Linked DNA regions of Drosophila melanogaster. Changing the gene in region 1 together with any one later gene gives a genetic interaction. Each region holds a gene or a part of one and is shown on either strand. Other genes may lie near its edges.

Evidence for each region.
Region 2: of ato (region 1) and dos, changing one suppresses a phenotype caused by changing the other (phenotypic suppression), as found in Drosophila melanogaster (one study listed by BioGRID).
Region 3: of ato (region 1) and lilli, changing one enhances a phenotype caused by changing the other (phenotypic enhancement), as found in Drosophila melanogaster (one study listed by BioGRID).
Region 4: of ato (region 1) and ase, changing one suppresses a phenotype caused by changing the other (phenotypic suppression), as found in Drosophila melanogaster (one study listed by BioGRID).

What each region holds. Positions count from the first base shown.
Region 1 is NT_033777.3:8,274,614-8,280,655, forward strand, and holds ato (atonal), read left to right. Parts: upstream 1-3,438; 5' UTR 3,439-3,512; coding exon 3,513-4,451; 3' UTR 4,452-4,661; downstream 4,662-6,042. UniProt on the Drosophila melanogaster protein: Developmental protein involved in neurogenesis. Required for the formation of chordotonal organs and photoreceptors. Seems to bind to E boxes. Specifically required for the photoreceptor R8 selection.
Region 2 is NT_037436.4:2,587,864-2,598,021, forward strand, and holds dos (daughter of sevenless), read left to right. Parts: upstream 1-1,550; 5' UTR 1,551-1,623; coding exon 1,624-1,689; intron 1,690-2,338; exon of another isoform or gene 2,339-3,750; intron 3,751-4,298; coding exon 4,299-4,623; intron 4,624-4,689; coding exon 4,690-5,456; intron 5,457-5,524; coding exon 5,525-5,636; intron 5,637-5,697; coding exon 5,698-5,938; intron 5,939-6,001; coding exon 6,002-6,602; intron 6,603-6,658; coding exon 6,659-7,183; 3' UTR 7,184-7,727; downstream 7,728-10,158. Other genes in the region: RpL8 (ribosomal protein L8), read left to right, coding at 1-27, 221-853; CG16984 (uncharacterized protein), read left to right, coding at 8,007-8,112, 8,169-8,986; CG12182 (uncharacterized protein), read right to left, coding at 9,127-9,279, 9,331-10,158. UniProt on the Drosophila melanogaster protein: Essential component for signaling from various receptor tyrosine kinases such as Sevenless, TORSO and DER. Required for photoreceptor cell and wing development.
Region 3 is NT_033779.5:2,882,728-2,890,198, forward strand, and holds the start of lilli (lilliputian), read left to right. Parts: upstream 1-3,201; 5' UTR 3,202-3,851; intron 3,852-5,556; exon of another isoform or gene 5,557-5,871; intron 5,872-6,946; 5' UTR 6,947-7,471. Other genes in the region: NTPase, read right to left, coding at 1-106, 2,266-2,295. UniProt on the Drosophila melanogaster protein: Has a role in transcriptional regulation. Acts in parallel with the Ras/MAPK and the PI3K/PKB pathways in the control of cell identity and cellular growth.
Region 4 is NC_004354.4:457,915-465,237, forward strand, and holds ase (asense), read left to right. Parts: upstream 1-2,832; 5' UTR 2,833-3,041; coding exon 3,042-4,502; 3' UTR 4,503-5,262; downstream 5,263-7,323. UniProt on the Drosophila melanogaster protein: Involved in the determination of the neuronal precursors of optic lobes in the central nervous system.

The DNA.
Region 1 (6,042 bases):
GGTAGAGCCAACAAACAAGGATCCAATATGCACCATGAAACTAATGTTTGATAGCCACATTAATATGCCAACGAAAACTTGGGCTCCCTTACTATGCGCTTTGAAATCGAATCTTGTTTTTCAGATCTGAGAAATCTGCTTTCAAAACACAAACTCGTATGTTTCTAATTAGAGTTCAATTTGTCAGTGCTTCATTTGTTGAATCGATTTGGTTCTAAGAAATTTGTTTTCGATATAAGTTAAATTTTCAAGATAGCATGCAGTACATGGCACCTACATGGACATGGTTAATCGACCTGCATATCAACTATCTACTATAAAATATGTGTAGCGAATTTGTCTTGTTTCGATGAAGGATAAAAGGATCACTGCTGGCGCCAGTCAGTTGCGAAGATCACCTCAGATACTGATCGGCAGTAATGTTGGCAAAACAACACCACCGCGCTCGAATTGCCGCATCAAAGTCGGCGACAAAAATCGCTCTGACATGGTCCGATCCAATCTGGGCAGATACGCTCATAAGGAGCACGGAGCTGATGTGCCATCCCTCAGCCGGATGATAACCATCAGTAGGCAATCTATGACAAAGCGCCGGCACAACAGGAGGTGAGGGCGTGCCCAAACAATGACACAGTGGGCGCTGCAAGGACTCGACTCCGACTACTCTGTGGACGTGTGTATAATCTAGTTTTAATTTTCATGGGAATTAACCCATGGCCGTCACAATTTTCCGGCCACTTCGTACAATGTGCAATTTATGCGATATTTGTTTAAGCAATTTTGATCAGCTCCCAGCGATGATAGCCAGTTCCAACTGAATCCCGTCCAATGTTTGACTCCACTTGACTTTTTATCCCCGTCGAGGAGCATATGTACATATGATATTTTCCATTTTTCCACCGCCCCAATCGGTGGTCAATATTTGCAGAGCCAAGTCAAACAACGGTCTCACATAACAAGGGGAGCTCTTTCCTCCTCCTCGACTTGGTCCTTCTGCATTTGCATATTTAATTTGCCTTTAATGAATTTTCAATTTGACAATTGCCGAAATGCCACACAAGAGGCCAGGATTCGATTTGGGGCCAGGCCACCCACGTGCACGGAACTGGGGGAATGGGAACTACCCCAGTTGCGGAGATGGCATGCCATGCCGATTGCATGTCCATGTCCATGTCCGTGTCCAGACTCCTGCTCCTTTCGCTTTTCGCTCTCGTCTGCAAAATGGGACAGAGTGTTAAATGCTAATAAAATAAGTAACATACAAATTTTTCAATTTCAGCTAAAAAAAATAACTGGGCCGAAGACGTTTAAGTCGAGCAGGAGCTGGTGGACTGGGATTCGGTCTGGATATATATAAATATGGATCTGGACAACACTTTCACGGCCCAGAGCGACTTGCTAATGGGAGTCGTTGACGTGAGCCTACTTTCCTCTTGTTGGCATCTCTTGCGCCTACACGTTCCTCATGCCGAAGAGAGTCCTGGAAAGAGTATACTGAATTAGGCCGGCTAGTCAGCAATTTGGTTACTTAACAAAATGTAGAAAATAACTAAATTAATTTAGTTACTGCGTCAATAGTTTAATGGCCTAAGTAACTAATACATGATTTGAGAGTTTAGTAAAAAACCCAATATACAATTATAACATTCACCATATTATATTACACTCAAGAATATACAGGTTGGTTTTTCTAGGATAATATAAGAATATGATTTGGATATGACTACAAGAGTGTTTCATGTTTCACCCAAGCAGATTCATACCCATTCAATTGGCTTTGTCATGCGCTTTCTGGAAGCTGCTCCACATCAGTTGCATTCCCATCGATGGCCAAGTTGCATTTATGCATATTGACATGAAAGAAGTGGCCCGTTACCAGCGTATTGATGCCAATGAGCTGGAGCTGAGGTATTGGAGGTACTGGTACTCATAAGGTATGTGGGTCCGATGTGAGGGATCAGCCACTCGATAACTGACAGGCACGCAAGGCGCCCGATGCCGACCATTGGCGAAAAAAGAACTCGACTTGACTTGGAATGACCCTTTTTGCCCCCTCGACTGGCAGCACGTGCATATTGCGATGCGGCAATGAAAATGTAAATTTCCCAATCGATATGCAGCGGATGCCTTGACATCGGCTAATGCCGATAAGCGAAAAACTTTACAGCGGAGATGCAATCCGAGGGATACGATCTGCACAGGTACATATTGCAGGTGTAACTACTGTCTGTTGCGGCAAGTGGCTCGTAAATTGCATGGAAGGACATTCACGAGGGACGTTCAGGACATTCGAGGTCTCTCAGGGGTGGACAAAAGGTCAAACATGCCTGTGTGCGTCCAATAAATTGGTGGTGCCGCTCTTGGTGCGGTTTGTTGTGTGACATTTTTATCTAATTGACAGCGTTTTTATTGCCCGGCAAAAAGATCAGATCCTTTGGGGCGTGCTACTAGTTGTGCGACTGGGTGGCCGCGGAACTTCAAAGATGCCCGAACACTCCCCCGCAAGTGGTTGATGTAGAATTCGTTGCATTATGATTTCCAGCGAATCATTAAGGATTAAGGGGCGTAGCGAAGGGATCTAAGGACCACCGTGGACGCTTCGTTTTGCTGTGTCATCCTGGGATCTACAACTAAATTCCCTGCTCACGATCGAACACACGGCCGTATTAATTGCAAGGCGCTAAAATGTTAACCCAGCTCTTAGTTACTGCCTGCCACGCTTATTAGGCACGACGAGGGCTAAGGTGAAGGTCAGTCCTGGCACTCGGTCAAGCGTGTCCTTGAAGGGCCGGCGCTATCATCTACCTTCTTCATGGTACCGGCAACAAGCGTATCAATTGGAAAATTTGCCAAGTTGTAATAAACAAGATTTTTCATTGCGATATTCCGCCCCCGACTTTGGGTAAGCATGTCGAATGACCCGGCGGCGGTGGATTTGTAAGGATTTCCCTAGCCGTGATCAGGTAGATCGAACCCACTTGCAACCGATGCAGATTAGATAAACTCATAAGACCCGCTCTGCCATTTGGTGCTGACAAATCGCCAAGGGATTTTTGCAAATTTCGCTTCGCTTTGCGGTCGACTTTAATCCCGTTTAGGGATTCAAATCGATTGTTTGTCCAAGTTCTGTTTACATTTCCGCCCATATTCCTGTTCCGGTTGTGCCGGCCATCCTATAATCATCTTGTTAGCGGCTTTAGATGCCCAGATAGTCGGTTTTCTAGCGCCATTTTAAGCTCGCAACGAACTGAGGTATAACCGGGCTCTCTGAGACCGCTGCAACTCACCACCAACTGCCATTGGTCGTGCCACTCGGGCGGCACGTGCTGCCTTCTGTGGCAACTCGTTTACCTGCCCCCCTACCTGCCTTTCAGGCCCTTCTGACCGTCGTGGTGGATTTGTGAGTATAAATAGGGCCGAAAGGACGAGAGACCAGTCAGAAACCCGCCAGCACTCGCAGCGTTCGTATCGTTTCATCCAGCAACATAACACCACCATACAGCAGCAGCAACATGTCGTCCAGTGAGATCTATCGCTACTACTACAAGACCTCCGAGGACTTGCAGGGCTTCAAGACAGCCGCCGCCGAGCCGTACTTCAATCCCATGGCAGCCTACAATCCCGGCGTGACCCACTACCAGTTCAATGGCAACACCCTGGCCAGCAGCAGCAACTACTTGTCGGCCAATGGCTTCATCAGCTTCGAGCAGGCCAGTTCCGATGGCTGGATCTCCTCCTCGCCGGCTAGCCACCGATCTGAGAGTCCCGAGTATGTGGATCTCAATACCATGTACAATGGAGGCTGCAACAACATGGCCCAGAACCAACAATACGGAATGATTATGGAGCAGTCTGTTGTTTCCACAGCGCCTGCAATTCCAGTGGCCTCTCCTCCGGCAGTGGAGGTCATGGGCTCCTCCAACGTGGGCACTTGCAAAACGATTCCAGCCTCAGCAGGTCCGAAACCGAAGCGTAGCTATACCAAGAAGAACCAGCCAAGCACCACCGCCACCTCCACACCGACTGCAGCTGCGGAGTCATCTGCCTCAGTGAATCTCTACACGGAGGAGTTCCAGAACTTTGACTTTGACAACTCCGCCTTGTTCGATGACAGCGTCGAGGATGACGAGGACCTCATGCTCTTCAGTGGCGGTGAGGACTTCGATGGCAATGATGGATCCTTTGACTTGGCCGATGGTGAGAACCAAGATGCCGCTGCCGGAGGCTCTGGAAAGAAGAGGCGTGGCAAGCAGATCACACCCGTCGTGAAGAGGAAGCGTCGCCTGGCCGCCAATGCACGTGAGCGTCGTCGGATGCAGAACCTCAACCAGGCCTTCGATCGTCTCCGCCAGTACCTTCCCTGTCTGGGAAACGATCGCCAGCTGTCCAAACACGAGACCCTCCAAATGGCCCAGACCTACATATCCGCTCTCGGGGATCTGCTGCGCTGAATTCCCGGATCCCGATCCCAGTCCCAAGTACTATTCTCAGTTATTGTTGGAGCTTGCCAAATGTTGTAGCTACTTTGTATATATTGCCTGGAGCCCAGTAGTGAATTACCGCTTAAGTATTATGCTGTTTATTGTTTAGTTAATTAGCCTAAATGGAAGACAATGATTAAGACTAAGGAAGACAAAATAAAAGCACCATTAATAATTTAAAACATATGTTCGTTTTTTGTTAACGGGGACTTTCTAACAGTTTTAGTAGCTATGCAACAATTCCTAGATGCAAAATGATAAATACAAAAATTCCAAGCCATCCAAATCCTTTCATCTCTGAACAATTCTGTTTCCCCAATCCTCGATATCCACACTTATCGGCGGGGCATCAATTCTCACACAGTGAATTGGACTTTATTATATGGGGGAAGGTGATCGATTTGGCGCTTCGCGATCAATTTGTAGACAGTTCGACAAAATTAGGGCCCCTCTTAATCGGGTTGGCCAAAACAAATACGCAGCGGACGATAATTACACGGCACGGCGCGCCGGACTGTAGCTGCCAAATTAAGTTAAGTGTTGGGCTGATCTGCTTTCAGCAGTCGCAGGTCGCATGCAATGTCCGTATGTCCGCTTGTCCGTATGTCCATTTGTCCGTCGCTGTCCCTGGAACCTCTGCAACTTCATATCCCAGTGGAAGTCCCAGTCGAGCCCCGAAAATCAAGCGCCACTCACAAATCGTTTAATACGAAGTTCGATCCCCGATCGTTGTTGGCGGATAAACTCAGCGGCTTAAGACTTTAAGCCGAAACTGTGCACTCAGCAAAACAAGAAGGTGTTGAAGAAGTTTTGTTCAATAAGTTAATGTAATAAATAATATTATTTAAGGTAATATAATAAAATGTATATAGTACAAGATAGGATCAAAGCAAACCTTTATAGTTAGTTCTACACAGAATTCATTCCCTTTAAAATATAATTAAATATATTATTTAGTGATATTAGATGGATGATATTTTTGGATCTGTTGAATAAATAAATCCTATGACGATTTCTGGCAGTGCAACATATCATTCAGCTTAAAACGGAGCAGAGATCCCCGGCCCAGTCAGTCAGTCATTCAGTCAGTCAGTCAATCATTCGTAAGATTCGAAGCCAATTTGTTGATAGCGACAGCAACGCCCGAGTGCCGGCGATTCGATCGACTCCCGCATGGGAATTGGAGCGCTCGGTGGCGGCTAGCGAGGGTGGGGGCGTGGCAGCGACCGGATTTCGTGGGCTGTTACTGTTTGTTTTGCAAAATCATTTTCGGGCGTCGCCGCAAAAGCTGCACGGATTTCGGGGCACATAATCAAAAGGAAATTCACATAATTAGTTAAGCGGCAGCGCGGCATCGACAGGGCTTCGTTAAATTGTTAATGACTTAATTTAGTGATCGCGAGGTGCGGGCGTCTCCCCAGGCGTCTTTTCCAGCGGCTGAGGCAATTATATTTGTATAGGCGCGAATGCGAGGCATAAAGGCGATATCCTGCCGATATCCCTGGAGTGTCGCTCTTGTTAGCGACAATTTACGGCTTTGAACGCTTCCGCACAAAGCGCT
Region 2 (10,158 bases), on another chromosome or scaffold:
TCCGGCTACATCCGCGGAGTTGTCAAGGTGAGTAACGTGCTCCTAGGATCACCAACTACACCTATCCGTTTAATGTGGATGAGATCACTTGCATTTGGCCATGCCACATTCAAGAGACGTGCTTGAGCACCTGTGCCAGCTTACTAGAAGTTACTTAGCTCACTTGGCTTAACTGCTTTTGAAGTGTAACTAAGCGAATCGTACTTCTTCCATGTTTCAGGACATCATCCACGATCCCGGCCGTGGCGCTCCTCTGGCCGTCGTCCACTTCCGCGACCCCTACCGCTACAAGATCCGCAAGGAGCTGTTCATCGCCCCCGAGGGCATGCACACCGGCCAGTTCGTGTACTGCGGCCGCAAGGCCACCCTTCAGATCGGCAACGTGATGCCCCTCAGCCAGATGCCCGAGGGTACCATCATCTGCAACCTGGAGGAGAAGACCGGTGATCGCGGCCGTTTGGCCCGCACCTCTGGCAACTACGCCACCGTGATTGCCCACAACCAGGACACCAAGAAGACGCGTGTCAAGCTGCCATCCGGCGCCAAGAAGGTCGTGCCCTCGGCCAACCGCGCCATGGTTGGCATCGTCGCCGGCGGCGGTCGTATCGACAAGCCCATCCTGAAGGCCGGTCGTGCCTACCACAAGTACAAGGTGAAGCGCAACAGCTGGCCTAAGGTGCGTGGTGTGGCCATGAACCCCGTGGAGCATCCTCACGGTGGTGGTAACCATCAGCACATTGGTAAGGCCTCCACCGTCAAGCGAGGCACATCCGCCGGTCGCAAGGTCGGTCTCATCGCTGCCCGTCGTACCGGTAGGATCCGTGGTGGCAAGGGCGACAGCAAGGACAAGTAAGCTCTGGCTGCAGCAGGATTCCGGCGTGGCGCAGGTTCCGCCTGAGATCTGGGTAGTGGTCGTGCTCTGCTGTGCGGCGTCGTGGAAGAAATTGCTATTCTACATGGATAATCTGTATGTTCTAGGCATACGCTTGACACGGCAGAATAAAACGTATTTGTAAAACTATACTTCGTTTGCATTTAAAGTTTTTAAGATTTTAGTTATTAGCTTTTGTTTGGATTTATTATGCTGATTTATTAGGTAAATACTTATGTTATCTGCAAATTCTTGTTTTCAAACAAAGAAATACTTGTGTTTTTTGAAATATGTATACATATTTTATATGGGCTATTTGTGGACTTATTTTTAAAATACTAGATTGAACACGTTTCATATGGCAACCAAAAAAGGTTTTGTTTTGTTTTTTACAAGATTGTAAATACTTAATTTTTACAACTCAAAATTATAAATAGTGCCAGTGTTGGGTAATGTCAACTACGGTCACACTAATCTAAAACAATTTGAAGCAAACGGTATATTACACTAAGTTCAAGTTTTGAAGCAATGGGGCTTACACCAAACAAATATATAAATAATAATAACTTTCCGCCGAATATAAGCGTTCGCATCTTTTATTTCGATATATCTTAGACTTAGCTTAAGCCTATCGAATACTTATTCGATATTGCCTCGGAAGATCTATCGCAAGCGTGAGGCCCACCTCTAGTTGGTGTGCGCGGAGTGGAGTGAAATAAATCGAAGTAAATTGCGTCGAGCGCTGCAAAATAATGGATCGCACTTTCTACGAGGGCTGGCTAATTAAGTCGCCGCCCACCAAGCGCATTTGGCGAGCAGTAAGTTTCCGAAAATGGAAAAACGTAGGCTTTCGAAAACCTGAGCGTGTGTGCGTGTGTGCAAGTGCTAAGGAATTTTCCTGGAAACCCCAGCTCAAAACGAAATCAAAATGAAAATTCTGATCCAATCAAATCAGAAATGTCCACTGATTAGTGAAATGTGCAAAGAAAAGAGAGTCGCAATTGGCTAACGGTAAACTTGAAGCCGGAAGAGAAATACCGCAATCTTTGTCCATCGATTGACTCACGAAAATGATAAAAAAAAACGATGGATAATGGAAGTGGCATTTTTTTACAATTACGCTAAGCCTGTATTGGTGCCTGCCTCAGTGTGTGTGGGTTTGTTTGGCGTTGTTGTTTGTGGTATGATTTAATTCATTATTAAGCCGAGGGATTGCAATTCCAGTATTCCAGTTGATTGGAATGCAAACAAGTTGAAAACCGCAGCAGAAATTGCAAAATGTGAATGAATTTACGATGGCTTCCTCTGCGTTTTTCCCTCTCTCTCTCTCTGTCTCTCTCCCCACCACCCTCTCCGTCACCCAGTTTCTTTCTGTTTATGTTTGCTTTTGGCGTGGGAACGTGTTTTTTTCTTTTGCCCTGGTCTAAATTTACGCTTAATTAATTTTTCGTTTAATGTTTACTTTAGGGAGCCGTTCGTGTATTAAATTTCCGCCAACTGTTGCGTTTAATCAAATTTACTTGCCCCGTATTTCGTGTGTGCATGTTTTTTATGCGCATATGTGCTTGTTTTTGCTTTTTTATGTGCACGGACGATAAGCCGGATCAAGCACAAAACAATGTGCAACAACAGCAACATAAACTACCGACGATGACCAAAAAAACAATGACGCACTTGTCTTTCCAGCTCCTTGTTGTTGTTGATTTTGCCTATGCTAGAGATGCGCTGTTGTAGTGTCAGCATAATAATTTTTATTTACAGTCCATCATAATGTATGACTTATTAGATTTTTGGATTAATTATTTTTTAAACATTTAGGGGATGAATAGTTGAAAAGTATGTTTGCTTATATTATTAAATATAAATAGAATGATTTGCTCAGACAAATAAATTTTACTGGATTTTAAACTAGTAAAGCTAAAATATAGAAGTTCTCCCTCAGGAGTTCGTGACACGACACTCTGTAGTGTGCCCATCTCTAGAGCGTTCATTTGAAACCACTTATAATGGATACGACAGTTCCAAGAACACCCAAACCGTTGATCAAAAGGTCTGCAGCACAGAATTTTCAGTTACAGCAAACCCACTTTATGGTTTCACTGTACTCAATTTGTTTGCTTATGTTGAGGCGTGCAATAGCGTCCAAAATGGTAGTATTCAATCACACTATTTTGAAAACTGCTTAAGATTATACAATATAAATTAAATAACTAACCTCTTGACATCAAACTTCGTACAAAATATGGAATATTTTGTTGTAAAGGTTTACAGCAGCTATCTAATTTTAAAAACAACCCTTTCCGGCGCGTTAAAAGTAAACAAATTTAGAAACATTTTAAAAATAGAACCTTTGCCCGCACATTTTCGTTTGCGTTTCTAATATCTTGAGCGCCATTGTATAAACAAACTCTAATGATGCCTCGAGAAAATGAGCTGCGTATTTCCAGCGCCTCGGGGTGCCAATTTCTGGCCTGTGTGCGGCATTATGTTTATTGTTTATAATTCAATTAAGCTTGATATTATACAGTCCGAAAAAAACCATCCATTATCAGCTGGAGTTTTACGTTTTCAGCGGGTTCCCGAACCTCTCAGCTGTTAATTTCTTAACCGCTTAACGGTAACGTGGGCGGGGGTGTTATTTCTGTGTGTGTGTCTGCTGATTACCCAAGAAAATGCCAATGCAAAATATGATTCGCGGAAAAGCAGCGCCGCTGCAGTCTCTGTTGACTCGGGCTTCATCACCCGCTTACTCACCAGCAGTGATAGTGTACTCAGTCGTTGAGCTGATCAGCCGTACCCTACCCTCATATCAACAACCGGAGTCCATCGCTCAGTAAGGGTATCTTAATCCAGAACGGAGACATCGGTACACTCGCGTAGTACGTTTATATATAGCTAAACTACTGCAAGATATAGTATAATTAGAGATAGACTTAAAGAAAGCCTTGGCGTGTCGCAAATTCTAGAAAATTTGCTAATGATTCACTATATTCTAATCATAAATACCGCATTATCAGATCTCTAGGAAAATTACATTTTTGATGCGTAAATGATATTGTAAGCATCAAGATTGTTCATTTGCTCTTCGCCCTGATGAGTAACTACCTGATGAAGTTAGTCATCACTATTCAGGCATCTTAGTACAATTTGTAACAGTGTAATCTTGTTTAATATTCTCAGACTCTTTGCAAAAGAAGCAATATCTACAAATCTCATTTTGGGGGAATTTTTGACTTTGTTGAATTGTTTTGCTACAAAAAAACAAAGACAGTTTATCGTGTGATATTTGCAATTCCACGACCCATTTAACATATGTCGCTATGAAGGAATCTTGTGTGTGTAATGGCATAGGAGAAATCACTATTGCTTTTCCAACTGTACGCCTCGTTGCAACTCTTAACGCCTTGTTTCCAAATTATCTTTGTAGCGCTGGAGGCGTCGCTACTTCACGCTGAAGCAGGGCGAGATACCGGAGCAGTTCTGCCTCGAATACTACACCGACCACAACTGCCGCAAGCTGAAGGGCGTTATCGATTTGGATCAGTGCGAGCAGGTGGACTGTGGCCTGCGGCTGGAGAATCGCAAGCAGAAGTTTCAGTACATGTTCGATATCAAGACGCCCAAGCGCACCTACTACCTGGCTGCTGAGACGGAGGCGGATATGCGCGACTGGGTGAACTGCATCTGCCAGGTGTGTCACCTACACGACACAAAGCAATCGAATGAGTTGCCATTAGGAGCTGTGGGTGCAGGTGAGTGTCCGCAAGCCCATGTCCAAAGAACCCCTTCTTAAGTTTTTCTTTTCTTGCAACACCCAGACGAAAACCGCACCCAACACACGAGCTCCAGTGGCGGTCTAAGCAACTCCACTCAAAATACGACCACCACATCGTTGCACTCGTCGGCCGGAACCACAGCGCCTCAGGCTTCGGTCCCAAATGCTGGAGGATCTGCCCAGCTGCGACGACCGGCGGTCATTGAAGAGCAACCGATGCCCTCGAATGCCGGCAACAATAACTCAGACTCGGTGTATGTCAACACGGAGTACAGCAATCGCGAGACGATGCTCTGCGATGCCAATTTCGATCAGCAGGAACTGCTCTCGGCTGCCCAGCAGCAACCGCCTCCATCGCCGGCCACGGCTCTTTATCTAAACCACAGTGCTTTGATCCAAGCTCAGGCGGCAGCTGCAGCCGCCGAGCAACTGCAGCAGCAGCAGCAACAAGCTGCTCGCTTGGCGGTCAGTGCCAACGGAGTAGTGCGCAAATTGCCGGAGCATCTGGTGCTCACGCAGCAGACCCTGGCGGAGGCAGCTGCCCAGCAACACAGCAGCGTACAGGCTTCACCCGCTTTGAGCACCGCATCCGGACCGTACATACCCATCAGCGAGTGCTTCTCGGGCAGCCCGAGATTCCTGCCCGGCGTTCCACTGCCCGGCGCAGATTTGGCCATACCAAACAACCCCACCACGCCGTTGAACAACTTGGATCCCAAGTTCTACGATACGCCGCGTAGTCATAATAACATAGGTCTAAATCTGACCAACGATCAATCCTACTCACCGAAGATAACCAATTTGAGTCTGGTAAGTTGATAGCGATAACGATGCGCGTCAAGCATTATTTATAATTAATTATCATGTTGGCCTTTCAGCAACAATTGGCCAATAACAATGCTAGTAAACAACGCTCCGACTCCGATTCGGAAAGCGTTTTCACCGATGACGATGAGTGGGCTCATCCTTTGCCACTGCGCGAGAATGTGGGTAAGTACTCAAAAGGCAAATATCAAAGCGAATTCTCGTAGTAAACAAAGATTTCTCACAGATCGCAGTACCCGACCTTCGGATAGTTCCATTGAAAACGAATCATTCGTGCTAACGTACTCGCAGCGATTCTCTAAAATGCCCGAGGAAGGAGGAGCGATCGTGCCACCAGCTGAAAAGAGTTCCAAGCTAGCAGGAGCAGCATCTCTGCCAGAGGCTGGTGACCAGGGAACGCTGGATAAGCTGGCCAAGGTGCTGAAGAACAAAAATAATCTCATATTGGACTTTAAGGAGAATGAAAAGTGAGTTAACACACACTCAATTCAATTTTAAACGGCCTACTAAATCATCCTGCGCATTGACAGAATTCCTCGCGATCTGCCGCAGCTGTCGGATACGGAAAATACTTCGCCGGCCATTGTGGCCCGCCGCAACGCGCACTCCGCTTTCATCGAGGAAAGCTATGACATTCCAAGGTCCCACCAGCAGCCTTACTACAACGTCAACCAGCTGCTGGGCGAGCGACCAGTCACCAGCCCGCACAATTCCAATCCCATTGCAGCATCCACACCGAATCTCATGGCGGCCGATCTGGGTGCAGTGGCCGCAATTTCAGCGGCAGCGAATCCCGGCCTGATGGGTGAGGCACAGGCAGTCGCATCATCGCCCACCAGTGCGCGCACATTGCCTCGACACTGCTACACCAATGCAGCTCCCACAAAGATGGAGGGCAATGTTTTTCGATACGACTTCATGGAGCAGGCGGACTGCCCGCCGGTTAACCGGAAACTTAAGCCAAAGGTGGCGGGTGGATTGCCAGTTGTAGAGGACAAACCGCCGGAGGAGTTTCCTGCAAAGCCCCCGGTGGGCGTAGATCAGTTAACCAATAAACTGGGTGCAGCCCAACTGCAGCAGCCCATTGGACCGCCCAGTGTGGACAGGAAGTGCAAACCGAATGCCTATAAGGTGAGTGACAAACGTTGTGCACACCCATATTCAATTTACTAATGACTTCTTTTTAGTTGGGCAATTCGGCTACCATGTCGCCGGCAACGCGACGTTCCTCCGGTGCCCCTCTCTCAATGGTGCTGCCGCATGAAACGGATGTACACTCCCCGGCGGCAGCCAACGCCTTCTTTCACGAGACCCGCACCCTGCCTCGCCAACAGCATCGGCATCATCCGAACAGTCCCGGCAGCATGTCGGTACAACATCAGCGCACCGCCTCCGCAGCGGCTGCCATGATGAGCTTGACGGCAGCAGCTGCTCCCAAGCAGCAAGCGGCGGCGCAGACTGAGCACAAGCTGCAGTACTTTGATCTGGATGTGACCAACAAACCGCCATTGCTAAATCGATCCAGCATGAGTGTGGGGAATCTGTACTCACAAGGCGGAAATGGAGCTAGTGGAATGCGATTCGCAGGCGTCGAAGCTGGCGGAGCTCGAGCGCCAGTGCCTAGCAGCGTGGTCTATAGATCCGTGGACTTTGTCAAGACGGAGGCATTTAAGAGGATTCGAGAGGAGCGCGAGAGCAGCGGCAACAAGTGAAACTGCTGGTTCAGCTAAATGAAATCATATCTCCAGTACATCTACTTGTCAACGTGCAATAGCAAAGGAAGGACCATGTTGCTGATCCGAGATTTTCGTAGTGCCTATTGGTGGTCAGCTGAGGAGAGCTGACCCCATCCAAAAACAGTGCAAATTTCGAGTGGCTTTTACATTCGTTAACATCGTCAAATTCATTATTCATTAAACCACATATCTAGCTTGTAAGACGGCACCAGCATTTCTGTGTGCTGTTTTGAATCTGTAATCTGTAACCCGTATCTGAATCTATGTCGTATTCGTATTTAAATCGTGCTTCCAACACTTCCATGTTTATTGTTAAGCTTCGGAATCAAAATGTAACCATGACAAACGATCTTAGTGCTAATTTTACAATGCAAACAATTATTTTATATACGCAAGCGAAATATTTATATACACGAATTTTATATGGTAACAAATTATTTACAATTTAATAATGTAACTCGTGTGCGACACAAGCTGTAGCTTGATTTTGTGCTTTAAAAAATATATATACAATAATACCAATTTTGTGTGTTCTCCTAAAAGATCCAGAACAAATATCGAATTCCGATTGCTAGAAAATATCTGAATATTACAATATCACCAGGAAACGATGTTGCCTTCTGTTTATTCTGGAAATCCTATAGCAACCTTTGTTTCGAGTTAAATCAATCCAAGTCAACGCAGAGGTACTTGGCAACGCAGGAGTCTCCACCAAACAGACTGTTATTATTAAACGAATAGTCAGTAAACTAGCACGCTTTCGAGTTCCCTACCTTCATCCTTACATATTTGTATTACAATGTCCCTGGTTTATATCACCCATCACGATGAGAATATTCTCGAGTGCGAGCAGGACTTTGTGAAGGCCCAAGGACCTAAGGAATCAATTTTTGTCTACAAAAATCGTAGGGATTCGTACTAAAAATCGTTACCTCCCACCTAACTTTAAGCAATTTTGCAGCTGTTGTGGAGAGGGCAGCCAAGTATGCCAAGAGACTTCGCGAACGCTTTAACGAGGAGGACAAGAAGCTATCGATTATCCTCCAGAACGATGGAACCCGCGTCCTGACAGAGGCCAAGAAATCAGCCCACCGCACCATGGGCTGTGCTCACACTCCGATTGACCCACCGTGCGCCTATTTGCGCAAGAGCCAGGGCATCAAATGGCGGCGAGAGAACACCCACAAGTGTCCCAAGATGCCGCCAATGCCCCCACTACCACCACCGGGCAGTGGCGGCAAAAAGCCGGCAATGGTACCTAACTTCATCAAACGCAACAAGATATGTGCCGGACAAACGGTTCCCTGTCCCCCGCCACCTCGTTATGTAGACACTCCCGTGGGAGCTCGTCACGATCTACTCAATTCCGGATTGGTACCGCAGTTTATCTGCCGCAAGGATTTCGGCAAGGTGCCTGTTTACCTCAAGAAAACCAAGAGGATGTTGGCCGACATGAATGCGGTGTGTGCCAAGGAACAGGCACGTTTGCTGGAGCTGTGCCGCGGTATCAAGGGTTTCACCAGGGCATCCGTCCAATCAAGTGGTCCGCCGCCAATGCCGGGTATGCGGGTGATGGAGCAGGCCGAGCGAAATGAGATCCTCGAGGGACTGCGACTGAGCCTGACCGAGATGACCAAGCAGTATCAGTCGATGTCGCTCCTTATCGACAGCATCGCCAAGCGGCAGCGCAAAAGCAAGCTGGAGTCCGATCTTCGCCAGGTGGAGCAGGACATTCTGCTAATCGAGACCACTCCCATTATCTATGTTTCCGAGTACTAACAATGACACACACACCTTTTCTGACCATGTGTGTCGGCATCTGGAAGCCGAGTGAGGTGTCTCCATGGATTCACTTGCTTTGCTCTTAGAGGCGGACACACAAAACACTTCGTAATTAAGATTGAGAATAAATTTAACGTTTATGCATTAAACATTTCCGTGGCAAAGCTTCCATGGCAAACGGGACATGTCAGATGTCTCCCCGACTCGTAGAGTTCTTGCAGATTGTCCAGCTCGAATAGGATTTGGCGGTTGCAGAGGCTGCAGTAGCGTCGCTCCAAGCTGAGGGAGATCTGTACGGATACTGTAGTCTTGTCTTAAAATGAATTCTAGTGAATTCTTACCTCCACAAAGGACACACTGCATCGATGAAGTTGCTTCTGGGGATTAGATATCACAGGTATACCTAGCATCTCGTGCAAGTGCTGAATATGGTTGCCCATTTGTTCAACGAATGTCCTTGCTGTGGATCCTAGGGCATGGTTTTCCGTGAAGTCGTCATTGAGTTTATTTATCAGTCTGTGGGCCTCCTCGAACATACATTTTATCGCCTGCTCCTGGAATGGTGATCTCTTACTTAATGACCCAATAAACTGGAGCCTCAGTCTTATGTGTGTGATATTCAGCATCGCAAGGAGCAGCTGCAGTTCATCCCGGGACTTTTGGATGTGAACTGTCAGCTGGAGGTGGCTCGATTGCAGGCGAATCACGTTTTGAAGAACATGAAATTTAATTTGCAGCTGCTGCAGCTGACCTTCAGTGGCGGTATCGGCAAATTCAATGGAATCTAATGGACAAAAGTCCATAAATTTTTGCCAATTCTCCTCGGCAAAAACGTGCAGACGTAGTCCAGCTAATAAATCGGTATAGTGATTCATGGGCTTATTGGATTCCAGATGCCTGACAAGCTGATCAAGTGGATCCTGATTCCCCACCTTGAGCACTTGCATAACCAACTGGTTCTTTTGAGATACAGTTTCATTTAGATATTCCTTGTTGCGGTAGAGTAACAGGGTCATTAAGTTCTTGTGCCTACTGGTGCACAGTCCCATCACCTGGAAATCCTGAAGGACACCCATGGCTATCGATTGCATCTGCAGGCTAAGCTGATTATTCTCGTGGATAATTTGTACGCAAGACAAACAGCTTCCAGCGGTTCCTGCAACGTAGCT
Region 3 (7,471 bases), on another chromosome or scaffold:
GGCACAGGAAGGAGATCTTGAGGCCGCTGGGCCCGCGGTTTCCACCACTGCTGGCATTTGGTGATCCGCTACTTTTCCGCCGCGGTGGCTTCTCATCCGTGGCCAGCTGAAAAGGCGAAAGACAAATTAGTTTTGTGACCGACTACTCAGTTATTTGATGGTGTTTTTCTTGGCCAAGTTCATCGGGTCTACCAGCTTATATTCGTATTTCATGGTTCGTTCCGTTGCCTCTGCTGGCTCCACATTTATGCATGGCCGGTTTCTTGGTCGGAACACATTTCAGTTGTTTGCTGCTCAAATATTAACACGCTGGCTGTTTGCTATCTCTGCGAATGTCAATGAATTTCATTTCTTCTCTTGTTTTCGGTCTATTTTACGGGCTTTATCGTTAACATGTGCCAGGGCTGCAGAGTCCGTGGCTCATCGATAACGTTAACCAGGGTTGGGCCACACTTTTGGCAACGGTAATTTAGGGCAGTTGGTAAACAGAAAACCGTTACTTCAAACAAAATAACCTTTTAAAGCGCATTACTTGGATATTTCCACGATTAGTATATATTATTGTTCTACCTAACTTTTCGCTAGTTTATATTAGTTCTTATAAGAACAAACGATAAACACTAAAAATAGTAAAAAATGCGTTTCTATGGCTTTAGCTATGGCTATTATTAATTTTCTTAAAATATAAAGTCATGCCAAATTACACATTTTCGCTGAGGAAGTCAGCGAAGCCAGTGGCCATTCGACTAGAATCTTATCGCGTAGCTTTCTGGGCGATATGACAGTGATAAGACGCAATCAGTTTTCGGGGGCGATTGGCGCGTCTGGGCACCACTGGCAACAATCATAAGTGGGGCAGGCCACGAAGCGATCTTTTAGCTTGATCAAATATTAAAGTTCCCAAACAAACCTGATGAAATTCCCATTGTTTAAACAAATGTTACGCTGTTGGTAAGCGACTGACGCAAAAAAAAAATAGTTAAAGCCAATGAAAAGTAGTCAAACAAAGCACAAATAGCGAGTATATATAATTAAGCAGTAATGGAGTTGACAGGTAGATGGTATATATATCTATATCTATACAATCAAGTACACCCATTAGTTTCGAATACACATACTACTTCCCAATAATTACACTGTTGGCATAAGTGAAACTCATTAAACATTCAGGGTGTGAACTTAACGCATATGTTTCCAGGCGCACGCTACTGCAATCAATAAATCTACTGATAAAAGGCGCCTTTTGTGCCGATCTAGTGACTAAGAAGCCTGCTCCCCATTTATAAAGGGGAATACTTTAATCGGTTCTATAGATAACTCATTTATTTCGAAGCCGAACACTATTTTGCATCAGCTGAAAAGTAAATCTTAAGTCTTAAAGAACCCTAATTGATAAATGTATCTTGAAATATATAAATATGACGCACAAAATGAGTTGAAAGATACAAACATTGAAAGCTGGTAGAAGTGTGCTATCTAGAAAATGCTGATAAGTTTAGACACAGATGTTGTGAAAACAACAAATATCGAGTTAGATACAAAAGTATCTAGTATATATTGTAGTACCGAGTACACGTAGGTACACGAGGGTTAAGGCCACGTTAGCAGCCAGGCACTATCTGCACTCACTTGCAACCGGTTCCGGTTTGCCCGCATCCTGTTCTCCACCCACTTGCGATGCAAATCAGTCGAAACTATGCGATCCAATCGCCCCCGAAATGGGACACTCTATGTGTACCTGTGATCTTTGGGTTCCGATGCGAGAAAGCGATTGCAAAAGTTGTCTAGCGAGATTCGGTCGAAACGGCTGCCAACTGAATCGTTGGACTTTTCTATGCTTTTTTTTTATCAGCCCCCCCTAATGACCTTGCAAATGAGAAAGTTCCTGCTGACTGGTCACCCTAATGCGAATACGAAAATATTTCAAAATAAACCGGCCGGCATTAAGATGTTGATAGAAAACCCACTAGTCATCTCTTTCGTAACTAAAATCAAAATTTGCATAATTGTTAACAAAAGCGTGCTTAGCGGCCATTGCGTATCTATATTTAAATGTCTTGTAAACATACATTTTCAGATACAAATTGGCACAATCGAATAGAATAGAACTTGAAACGATTATTCTGCGAGTCATTTGATGTTTTACTTCCGCGTCAAAAGAGCAGCAATTTGAGGAATTCGCATGTGTGCGTGTGTGTGTGAGAGAGCGCCATGAAATTGGCATTAAATTTGTGCTGTGGATTGCCCTTTTGACCTTTTCCTTACTTTTCTCTTTCGCACATCGGTGTTCGTCATTCTGTCGTCGTTACTTTTCACTTAAATTATGTAAATACGCGAGCGTTTGTTTATTTCGGATCGATTGCTGCCGATCGCCGAGCGGAACGCACTAATGTCGATCTAATCTAATGATGGCCGCGCCCGCCGAATGATAAACTCTGATCAGGAAGCCAACGCGCACGGAATGGCGTCTTGGAATCAACTAAAAACATTTATTTACCACCTGCTCATTTATATGCTGCAGCCCTATCAGCTGTTCGCTGCGGCGCCCACTATCAGCGCATACGGCCACACTGCGGGGGCGGCAGGGATGCCAAAAATTGATGTGGATAACATAGAAATATTTAAAATTGTGAAATTATTCGATTTTGATAAGTATACTTCTTAACGGAATTCTGATAACAGGTGCAGAAATCCAGTGCATAGTACTATAATTGACATATATTAGAGGATTCGTTGTGCCTTAATCCGCTATTTAAATCAATAAGGATTTATCATAGATTCATTCGTAGATTCTTATCATTATTTTGTACCGACAAATAAGATAATTGGATTCAATAGATATTCATTCAAGCTAAGTGTAGATTAGATTATATAGGTATATCATATTTCCCATTAAGATACTTGCCCATTCCAAAATTGGGTTTTCTGGATTAGACATTGAGATAAGAAACCAGTGTTGAAAACCAACACTGAAAACTGCTTATGAATTTTCAAAAACGCTCGGATAAACACATTGCTAGATAAAACTCAGATCGTTAGACAAACCGGTTCCAAAAATCATTCATTAAGTAAGAGAAAATCGAAATTTTTAGCAAATATGCGGTACCGACATTTTCCAGAACTGGACCTATCGTCGCACAGCTGATCGCCCGCCAATCAGCTGGGCGATAGTTGCCGTATCGATAGCCGACCCATCGATAACGATATGTGTATTTTCCTGCTCTCTCTGCACCAACACAAAACACGCAACTAAATTTCGGTTAAAAACCCCTACTAAAAACAATGCAATCGAAACGGAACCATATAAAGTGATTAAATGGCCAACGCGGCGGAGGCGAAATGCGAGCGCAGTGCATTTTCCGGATGAAATCGCGTTTTCGGGGAAACTTACACAAACATTTTTTTCGTAAGCGCTCTCATGTTGTCTCTTTCGCACAGCAGAATTACTAGTTGCTGTGTGTGTGCGTGCGTGCGTTTGTGTGTGCCGTATGCCGTGTGCCAGTGTGTGCGTGCGTGTGAGTGTGAGTGTGAGTGACTTTGACTGCAGTTCGCGTACGTTTTTTATTAATACACCACATAACAACAATCACAACAACAACAAACAGTAATGGAAACTAAACATATTTAATGCGAGGAGACCAGAAATCGTCTAAAACGGCAAGGCTTTATCACCATCGCCACCACCACCAACAGCACAGCAACAACAACAAATTACTACAGCATATATGCTAGTGTGCGTAAACGTATTTGTGTTAAATAATGTTTAAACTGGCATTTCTGATTTCGCACACAAAACAATATTAAGTTGTAGTCACCAGCAGAGAGGAGCAATTGAAGCAAACGAAAAAGAGGTAAGTGCAAAAAGCAGACAATTGTTATAAACAAAATGTGTCAAAAGTTCGTCATGTCGTCGCGCGCTCTCTCTCTCTTTTTTGCTCGTTCTCCCTCTCTCTCTCCGCTCTGTCCTTCTCTCTCCCGCCACGCCGAAAAGAAATTAATTTTGATATTTTTTCCCTGCTTTTTTGTTGCACTCTCTCGCTCTCGCAAACTTTTAATTTTAATTTGCTATGCGCAGCGAATTCGCGCGCAAAGGCAACAAAAAAAGAGGCAATGCAAAGGCAGCAGCAACAACAATACAGGCAAAGTAATAAACGTCAAAATGCCAGACGGACAATTCCTCTCTCATGCGCTCTTTCCGTCGCTGTGTGCGTGCGTGTGTGTGTGTGTGTTTGGGTTTGCTAGCTTTTTGTTTTTATCAATTATTTAGGTAGGTGTTTGCCTTAAAAAGAATAACTGAAACGCAGAAAAATACCAATACTTGTATACTCCAAGTAAAAAAGGGTGAAAGGACACTATCGGCTCAACAAGGAGAATGCAAATGCTATAAGTAGGAGGGGGAGAGAGAGTCACACGCACACACACCTCAAGCAATTCTGATAAGAACAATTGTTATTTGTTTGAAAGCCGACATTCCAATAGTCCACGTCCATTCGCCCAAACGTTGAAAATAATCGACAAACTTAAATACTATTGTGTTTGTTCGCGAACCCAGAGATGCTTTGCCAACTGATGAAATAAATATGGCCAATGCCGTCAGAATAAAGCGAAAATACCATTGTGGTTGGAATTCTCTTAATGTTAACATTGATTACTCCATTTTCTACTTTCTAAACAATGTATTGTATTCAATATTTATATTGATAATATCGAAATAGATAATTGCAGTATTTAATTGTTTTTGTACTTCGAATTAGAAATATGACTTTAATCACGTACGCAACAACCCATGCTTTCTTCCTAAGAAATGACAAAATAATAGTCTCCACGAAATAGGAGAACTCCATACTCAAAATATAAGCTTCAGAAGTTTATAGCCTAAAGCATTTTCCTAAACAAACAGCTTTATAGAAGAGTCTTCAATGAAAAAATAATTTACCTCTCGTGTTATTTATTGAACTCCTCTTTTAAAAGATAGGAGGTCAAGCATTTTAAATGTTTTGGTTAAATGATCTATATAATTGTACAATGTAATGTTTGCTATAACATCTCTAGTCTCACTTTCTTTTGCTTTTGTTATTAATATGAAATGTCGAAGTCATTAAAATTGATTCATGGAGTCAAATTACCAAACAATAGGCATTTACCAACGAGGATGCGAGAAGAAGAAATCGCCGAGGAGAGCATTTTTTCTTTTGTTATTTGCACGGTTTCGAATTCAAATTCCAATCAGCATTCTTCTTTTTCCTCTCTCTCAGGAAACTCATTCACGACTCAGTTTTCGTTACAATTTGATTAAATATTTAACTATAATTTGCATAATCAATTAACAACAAAGTTAAAGAGGATCTTTGGCACTGTTATGTCTACATTGCGTTAGCATTAATGTTAACTGCTGCTCGCACTAACAGTCGACAAAATGTTTGAGATAGCGGTTCGATGGCGTTTGACGGCTCTCTCAGTACGAGTTCGAGTTGCATGCGGTTGAAGGCGAGCGAATCGTCGAATAATAACGGTAAAGATGTAGTACTTTTTGGATTTCGCAGCCGGTCGAACACGAAAATCGGCGCCGTCGTCGCGCCGTGTAAAAAATGTGAGCGAAAATAGCAAAATAAATTTGTAAAAAATATAGAAAATACAAATCGCGCCGCCCAACCGAATATCTGCAATCGAATTTCAATGAAAGTGCTTGCCATCTGAAATATATTCATTTCAAAGAAGTGTGTGTGTGTGCAATCCATGTTTTTTCTGTGTGCAAAGTTCAAAGGCAAAAGCAAAAAGAAAAGGCAATAGCAAGTAGCTAAGGCAAAGGCAAAAGCAAAATCAAATCTAAATCTAAATCAATGTAATCTAAATCAAATGTTATTCGAAAACGTAAGTTCAAAGAAGTGAAGAGTGTAAATTCTTAAACGAAACGAAGCACATGTGCCACCGTCCCCCTTTCCAACCCATCCCTCCCATCGCTTTGTCTCGCTCGCTAGCTCGGAGGCAAAATTTCCAATGCATATCAAATGGAAATCAACAGATCAAATACAAATACAAAAACAACTACAGCAACTTTGTTTTTGCAAACATCGAGAACAACAACAAACAGCTCGAAAACGGAACAGAAGAGACTTCAAGCAGAAGAGAGCGCAAAAAAAGTGAAATGCGCATTTTTTATTGTCAATTTTTCAAACGGCACACTTGGACCTGGACCGTGTGATTTTCTTGCTCTCTCACTCGCTCTCGATCGCACTCACTCACTCTGTCGCTCTCTTTGCTTTGCTAACGGAACTGCCGTCTTCTTCTTCACCTTCTTATTCGTTGTTGTTGTTAGGCAAAAGCAACGCCAAAATGGAAAGGAAAATTTTTGTTGTTGTGGTGCGTTGCCCTTTGCTTGTGCGCTCTTCGAATAAAATCAACAACAACAACAACTAATGAATGAATGAATGTGGTAGCCGAAGTAGCAACTTCACAAACAGCAACGGAGCGGAGCAGATACATTGCGATAATTTTCTCGCTCATCTGGCGTCTTTATGACATTATATACGCTACATTTTGATTTTATATTTAACACCTGCTGTTCTTCCATCAACATTTGTATGTGCATATGAGATAAGTGCATCAGAATGTGTACGTGAGTGTGTGTGTGCTGCAATTGCGATCAACAGCTGTTGCAGGGAGAGCAAAAGAGAGGGAAAGAGAAGAGTGAATATCTGTGCGGATGTATGTGTGTGTCCTTGCTTTTGGTTTTCTTTTGTGGCATTTTGTTGTTGCAGCTGGAAGAATGTTTCCCGAAAAGGGGGTTTTCGGAAGATTCCAATCTGCCATCGAAACCAAATCTAAAATTAACTTTCTAGGTTATATAAATCAATTAACAAAACAACATGGCGAACCGATTGACACATTTTAAAAGTTATAGTTATAGTTCTCAATATAGTTTAAAGAATCACTTTCATATTTACAGCCAACGTTATCATTAAAATTCGCCTCAAATACAAGCAATAATACATAATATGAATAAAACCCGAGAGAAAAAAGTTCAACATCTAGTAAAGAAAGCAAACAAAGTTTAAAAACATTTGCATTAACGAAATCGTAGCCATTAGCTTTAACAAAGTCGCGTAAAAATTTTGAGCAGAACTTAGCAAGCCTATAAAGTACGCCTTCCAATAGTTATTATATATACACGCATTATATACATATGCATATACACAGCCATAGCACTTACATACATACATATATACATATACAACATCGGCCGAAGGGAATTATAGAATGAGAAACCCACACGGGAAGTGAATAAACGATATGGAATCGTGGAAAAAGTGCGTTATATGCTAACGGTGCAATCAAATCTTAATGTAGCCAAGCGATACTAACATATATAGCACATAATATATAGATATATATTTCTTACATCCATCAAGTAAATCAACAATTTTTACAATCCGCAAACTTAAGCTGCTTCAAAATCAACCAACGCAATTAC
Region 4 (7,323 bases), on another chromosome or scaffold:
TAATATAAGATGGTGTCCTTAGTTAATATAATAAATATATTACAAAAATATAAGTGTTTAAAAAATTTGAATAATGCTTGTAATATTAGATATCACTATAAAAGAAGAAAAGACGTGCCAATCCGGCTACAAAAAAAGATCCATTACAAGAACACGACGACGGAATGCGTATTTATTTCTTGCATGATTCACCACATTTATTTCAAGATGGTTTTTTTCTGTGTAGGATCTCAGGTAGAAGACACACAGACACTCACTCACATTTATGTAGAGCACAAGGCACGTGCGCGATCTGAAAACAATTTACCACTCCGATCAGCGTGAATTGTGAGTTTCACTTTAAAGTCGAATGCAGTTTTTAAATAGAAACTCGCTATTTCCCCATGTATTGTTTAAAAGAGGTATTAAAACAGCCCGCACCCGCTCATTTTTGCTGCAAGGACGGGACACAGTTTGCCGCTAAATAAATAGCAGAAATGATTCGGGAGTAACTCTTTTCCTTAATTTTTTGGCTAATTTTATTTAGTTTATAGTTAGAAAGAGTTACATATCTGTACACCGGTCACTTGTAACTCGTTCACGATCCGATGGGGGGAATATGTAATAATTAGAAGGCATCGTCACAAACATTTCCTTAAACAATGTCCCAAAAATGGTGTTCACCCGTAGAGCGAGTCCTTTTGTGTAGTTCTCGGCTGGGGTCCTTTCACTTTTCCCCCAGTGCTTGACTCCAAAGTTATTTCAAGGACTTCCACGGAAAGACTTCCGTTCCATCAAGTTTTCAACACTCATAACTCGAAAGACGAAATAATAATATGAAAAAACAAGAAGCGGTAAAACAATTTATGAACGAACAACTGTGCACAGATGCTAAATGATGAAGCATCCTAAAGGATCCACTTGAGTCAACGACGAGTACACACAGAATATGGGCCCAGGACATATTCACCCGGCGCCTTTCTCCGGTTACAAAATGGAAAAAGAAGAGGGAACTTAAATTTTGGAAAATCAAAGCGACTTGCATGCGTTGGCAGATTGATTTACGATTTTGGAGGGTCAAGCCAAATAGAACGACTTCAGGTTTCAGTAAATCATGGAGGATCCAGTATGTTTCCACGCTAGCGTCAATTCCGTTTACTCATCTGTTTCATTACCATTTGGCGTTTCTCTCGTCGAAAGATATTTTCCCATTGAAATCAATGCGTTTTTAAAATGCAAATAAACCAGAAACCAGAAACCATTCATAAATTGTATTTGCCTAGATTGGAACATTTCGATCCGCCAAAGATAACAGCCAAAAAAATATATAAAAAAAAGAGTGACAGGACTACAACGCAGGTTCTTAATTTTACGAACGTGGGAGTAAATTCGAAAAGGTATGCCGCGTCTTGGGGCAAAACTTTTTTGAAACCGTTTACATGTAATATTTTTGGAATCGCTACTTTTATGTATGGTTAATTTAATTATGAACTATTTTCTTGCAGTGCACGAAAGGCGTGGCTGGGGCAAGGAACAGTTCCTTGAGATGAGTGCTGCGATGCGTCGTCAAAGTGGGACGCAACCGAGTCAAATCCTCTAGGACAACAAAGGACGCCGAGCAGTACTTCCCAGTACTCAAATACTCCTCAGTACGCACAAGCGTTGACTCCTTTTTCTTTGAGAGCTCGTCTGCATAATGAGGAATGAGGACGTGGCATCCTGGATCAAAAACCGGTAGTCGGTCGTCGCAAGTTTCTTCTCCCCGCCGGTTATCCTGCGCTCAAGTCCTTTTCCTTGAACCTTTTAAGTGAACTCAAGTTTATAAATTGTGCAGCAAGTACAACACACACACATATGTATACTCCTCTATTTACTCAGGTTTGTTGGAAACTACCTGAGAGGAAGGATCAAAAAAGTTTATTGTAGCACTCGAAAACTTGTTTGCACAGATAGACCTAAGCTCCAAAAAAAAGAATAGATTATAGAAATAAAGCACTGGTAAAATTATTTTCCCACCGGACTAATTGCCAGAAATTTTTTGCCAGACGTAGAAAAAACAAGAATGTAGAGAAGGATGGGTGATTTCTCACCCCTTAAAGGATTTAAATTGGCTCTCTGGCATCTTGTCAATTTCCAACATAAATTGTAGCCCTGTGAATTACCTAAGACATTACTTTCGCAGTATATACTTGCTGTTTATTAGCTTAACAATAGGAAAATGTTTTTGCCAATGCAAGTCCTGGTAAATATATGTATATATTATCCAGTACGAGTTTTTGAAAAGTTAACAATAGGTGATCCCGAGACATTTTTCGAATGAAGTAGAAACCAGTCCTTGGTTTTAGCTATAAGCTAAAAATAAAGATTCGATGCATTTCTGCGTTTTACATGACGAATATTGGAGGTCTAAGGTGATCTATTAGGATATTTTGCAAATTCCTAGGTGGTAGGGCATTCCTTGAAAACCAGGGCTGAAAAAGCTCCCCAGGGAATATACTTTTTATTATATGCATACGTATATGGTTATTATAATGTCCATATATTAATAGGGGCGGTATATAAGCATAATGTGTTTGCTGCCGATAAATAATGAGAGAGAGCGTGGCGAAATCCACCCTTGAACCAGGTGGACTTTTTGGCTCGAGTTGATCAGATGTTAGTTTTCCCAAAAGCCGTACTGTATATAATATATATATATGATAAAGGTGTATGTGTGAGCGATCGAGAAGGGACACCCAGTCTAGGGGATGAAAAGTCAGGCCCTTTACATAAGGGATACGCAGGACCTCAAATGCCTTCTGTTTTGTATGTGTGTGCTCTGTGTTGTGTATGTCAGTCAACGAAGTCACTTCCGTTGGGTTTGCGTTTTAGTTTGAGTTCGGAGTTTAGGGGCACGCGACACAGAGCGCCAGCAGCTGTCCTGATGCAAGGACACGGAAACCATATTACATCAGTCACCAGTTAACATTCACTCAAGAAGGACTAACTTGCTAAAAGTACACCCGCAATCGCCACCAGTTTTTCTCCCGCCCTCAAAAAGCCACGAATCAAAAAACTTAATTATGGCCGCCTTAAGCTTCAGCCCATCACCTCCTCCAAAAGAAAACCCCAAGGAAAACCCCAATCCAGGAATAAAAACCACGTTGAAACCTTTTGGAAAGATTACCGTTCACAATGTTTTAAGTGAGAGTGGCGCCAACGCCTTGCAACAGCATATAGCCAATCAGAACACCATTATTCGAAAGATCCGGGACTTTGGCATGCTGGGCGCTGTTCAAAGTGCCGCAGCCAGCACAACTAACACCACACCCATATCCAGTCAACGGAAGAGGCCCCTGGGAGAATCCCAAAAGCAGAACCGGCACAACCAGCAGAATCAACAGCTTAGTAAAACATCAGTGCCTGCTAAAAAATGCAAGACCAACAAGAAGTTGGCGGTTGAAAGGCCCCCAAAAGCAGGAACTATAAGCCACCCTCATAAAAGCCAAAGCGATCAGAGTTTTGGGACTCCTGGAAGAAAGGGTTTGCCTTTGCCACAAGCCGTTGCCCGTAGAAACGCTAGGGAAAGAAATCGCGTGAAGCAGGTTAACAATGGATTTGCTTTACTCCGGGAGAAGATCCCAGAAGAAGTATCTGAGGCTTTTGAGGCCCAGGGGGCGGGTAGAGGAGCAAGCAAGAAGCTATCCAAAGTGGAGACCCTCCGCATGGCCGTAGAGTACATAAGAAGTTTGGAAAAACTGCTGGGATTTGATTTTCCACCTCTCAACAGTCAGGGGAATAGTTCTGGTTCCGGCGATGATAGCTTTATGTTTATTAAGGACGAATTCGATTGTCTGGATGAACATTTCGACGACTCGCTGAGCAACTACGAAATGGATGAGCAACAGACTGTCCAACAAACTTTATCCGAGGATATGCTAAACCCTCCGCAAGCCAGTGATCTCCTGCCTAGTTTGACTACATTAAATGGGTTGCAATACATCAGAATACCAGGAACCAACACCTACCAACTGCTGACGACTGACTTATTGGGCGATTTGAGTCACGAGCAAAAACTTGAAGAAACAGCTGCTTCGGGCCAGTTATCGCGATCGCCCGTGCCACAAAAGGTGGTAAGAAGTCCCTGCTCTTCTCCAGTTTCACCTGTCGCCTCGACTGAATTGCTGTTACAGACACAGACGTGTGCCACACCGCTGCAACAGCAAGTAATCAAACAGGAATACGTCAGTACCAACATTAGCAGCAGCAGCAACGCACAGACTTCCCCGCAGCAGCAGCAGCAAGTTCAGAACCTGGGATCGTCGCCTATTTTACCCGCGTTCTACGACCAGGAGCCCGTGAGCTTCTACGACAACGTAGTCCTTCCCGGATTCAAGAAGGAATTCAGCGATATTTTGCAGCAAGATCAGCCCAACAATACAACCGCTGGCTGCCTTTCGGACGAGAGCATGATCGATGCCATTGACTGGTGGGAGGCACATGCACCTAAATCTAATGGTGCATGCACCAATCTGTCCGTTTAGCCGAATTTTTTCACATCACGCATCTCGGAAAAGCCGATTGCATTTTTTGGCATACTTTTTAAATGATTTTAAATCCTCACAGCATAAGTCTGTGGCAGGCCATTCTATCTAAAGTTTTTTTTAATCAAGCCATGACTGAGTCATTGTGTAAATATCAATTTAAGCCGAGAAAGGAGGATAACTTCGGCCAGCCGAAGCTTATATACCTTTGCTGTTAAAACCATGTATTTAATATGAAAGTTCGCACAATTTCGATGAAGTTTATCACAAATTTACGATTTCATCAAGATTTGTATATTCTCCAAATTCTATAAAATATATGTACATTTTTGATTCTTGCTATGGTACTTGTACGTATGATATTGTTGATCGATCCTGCCCGAGTCACCTTTTATATCACCAGACATGCCGATCATGAATATTTATTGATGTGGGGTCGGAAATGCCTCACTGCTACCTTCAGACATATTATAATATCCTCTGAAAGAGTGTGACAAAATGAATGTATGAACACTACATATTTAAAGTCATCTAGTGATATAAACCAAATGGAAATAACCTTGTAAGACCCAACCACAAAATAGTTATCCTGATAAACGGCTTAATGTTGAGCCGGACTAACAGAGTGTCTAGTATATAACAAAAATTAATGTATTTGTGTAACCATATTTTTTTTTTATAGATTTAATTGTAGGAACGTTAAAATGACAAGCAGATAATATATGCTTTTGAATAAATGCAAATAAATATGAACATTTCCAAAAACTTAATTTGTTTCTTGTGGTTTTATTTCTCAACGAAAATTAGGTATATTAAATGACAATTTATAATTTGTACCACATTTTAGAAAAAAAGGTGTTTTATATTTTAGAGAGTGTCTTATGGCACAGTATATCTCCGGTGCTTTATTGACTCGATATTCAAAATGGGGTTCCTTCTGTGACAGAATGACAGAATTCGGATTTTTTTCTAGCGGTTCTTTTTTAAACATGTGCCTTGATTCATAATGACACAAGTAATTAAAAACGCACCAAAATAAATATTAGGGAAATTGAGAGAAAGCGGTTTTAGGGTGAACTATTATTTAGGACCTAACCGGCAACCGCAAATCAAACGAATTGCTTTTAAAAATAGAGTCTAGTCTGTCTGTCCTCATAGAAGTCAAGAAGTGAAAAGCCAAAACAGCTTGAAATTCCAATAGCGGCTACAAACTTGAAGTTGTTTTAAAACCTTGTCATGCTCACCACACAGACCCTCATTAACATTTGGAAAATATTTTCAATGATATTTAAGGGAATGGTAATATATTTTTTTATACAAAGTTGCCAAGCCTTCACGCACGTCTTTTATTTTGCACGATATTTACTCACCCTCACTTTTACTTGGCGCTATACTCTCCTGCCAATTGTGCTCAGGACTTCATTGTCCTGTGCTTACGTGTTCTCATGTCTCTCTACCCGTCCCTTTTTTTGGGACATCTGCCCAAATAAAACAAAACGGAAGAAAAACCAAAAAAAAAAAAAAATAAGAAAGGGCCGGTCCAATGGATATGGATGATGCAAAACTACATAAGACAGGCATACTGTAAGGAAAATCAATTGAAATCGTTTTCCATTAAGAATAGATGGCCTGTGCCAAATGATATTCGCATCTGCAGGATCCGAAAACCAAAGAAATCTAAGTAGTACACTGAGGAAACAACACGATCTATTTTGAGGTCGAAATTACAAGGCGAGGCATTTTTTCCTCCATTACTATTTTTTTTTTTTCGCTGTGTATATGTATGTGTTGGCGCGCTCCTGAGCGCCTGAGATCGCCTGCAACCCCCTTTTTCAACAGTTTTCAGTTTTTCCATCCAGGTGCAAAGGTGTTTTCCTATCATTCTTTTTTTGGTCGTGTGGTGGGTGCGCCGTTCACCGTTAGCAGTGAAAATTGTTCACGCACCGTTATAATTATTAAATATTGGTAATGCGACACGCCCCTCAACCGTACACCTCCGAGTTTGGGTCGAATTTCGCATTTTTACTGTTTGAACTGGGAAATCATTGCCGTTATGTGCGTCTTTTTGTTGTTTGTGTTTTTGGTGAATGTTAAAGGCTTAGCACCGATAAGGAATATGAGCCCTATCGTATCCTTCGATCGGCAGATTTGCTTTCGTAGCTCTGGGTGCTGCAGTCGCTTTAAGTTGTGCCCCCATTATGCCATTTAGACCACGCCTCTATGAATGCATTATTACTGAATGCCGTCTGTTTTTAAGTTCACTTTAGCGTGTGCGCATGCTCTTGCCGCTGACTTGATTGGATTCACCCCTACTTCTCTGATCCACTGACTATCCAATTTCTGGGCACATTGCACTGCAGTTATCCCGGGAACCAGATGCTGCCTTTGACCCGCCGAATCCGAGTTGGCTCGATGGATCTCGTAATTGAGATAGGTGACACGAAAAAAAAAATAATTTCTTCGAATTTTAAATCTTTAATAATTTTTGGAAAACCATGTCATCTAGCAATCATTACCTTCGCTTATTGTATATTCAAAGAAAACGGTAATGGTTTTGAGGTCTGATCCGCTGATCCCCAGTAACCAGTTGGCAAGGTTATATTTTCATTCAAGGATTTCATCCTTCCGTTTCATTCAGCATTGGACCAAAGAGAGACTTCTCTGGCAAATAGTATTCGTAATACTGTGTCTTCCGAAACTAACTGCCGGTCAAGCCGAGCTACTTAGACTTAAGCAGATACTTATACTCGACGGCTTTCAGTTTTTCTAAGTCCTTAAGTGGACGTACTTCAACCCACAATGAAGCACTTAAGTGTGCGCT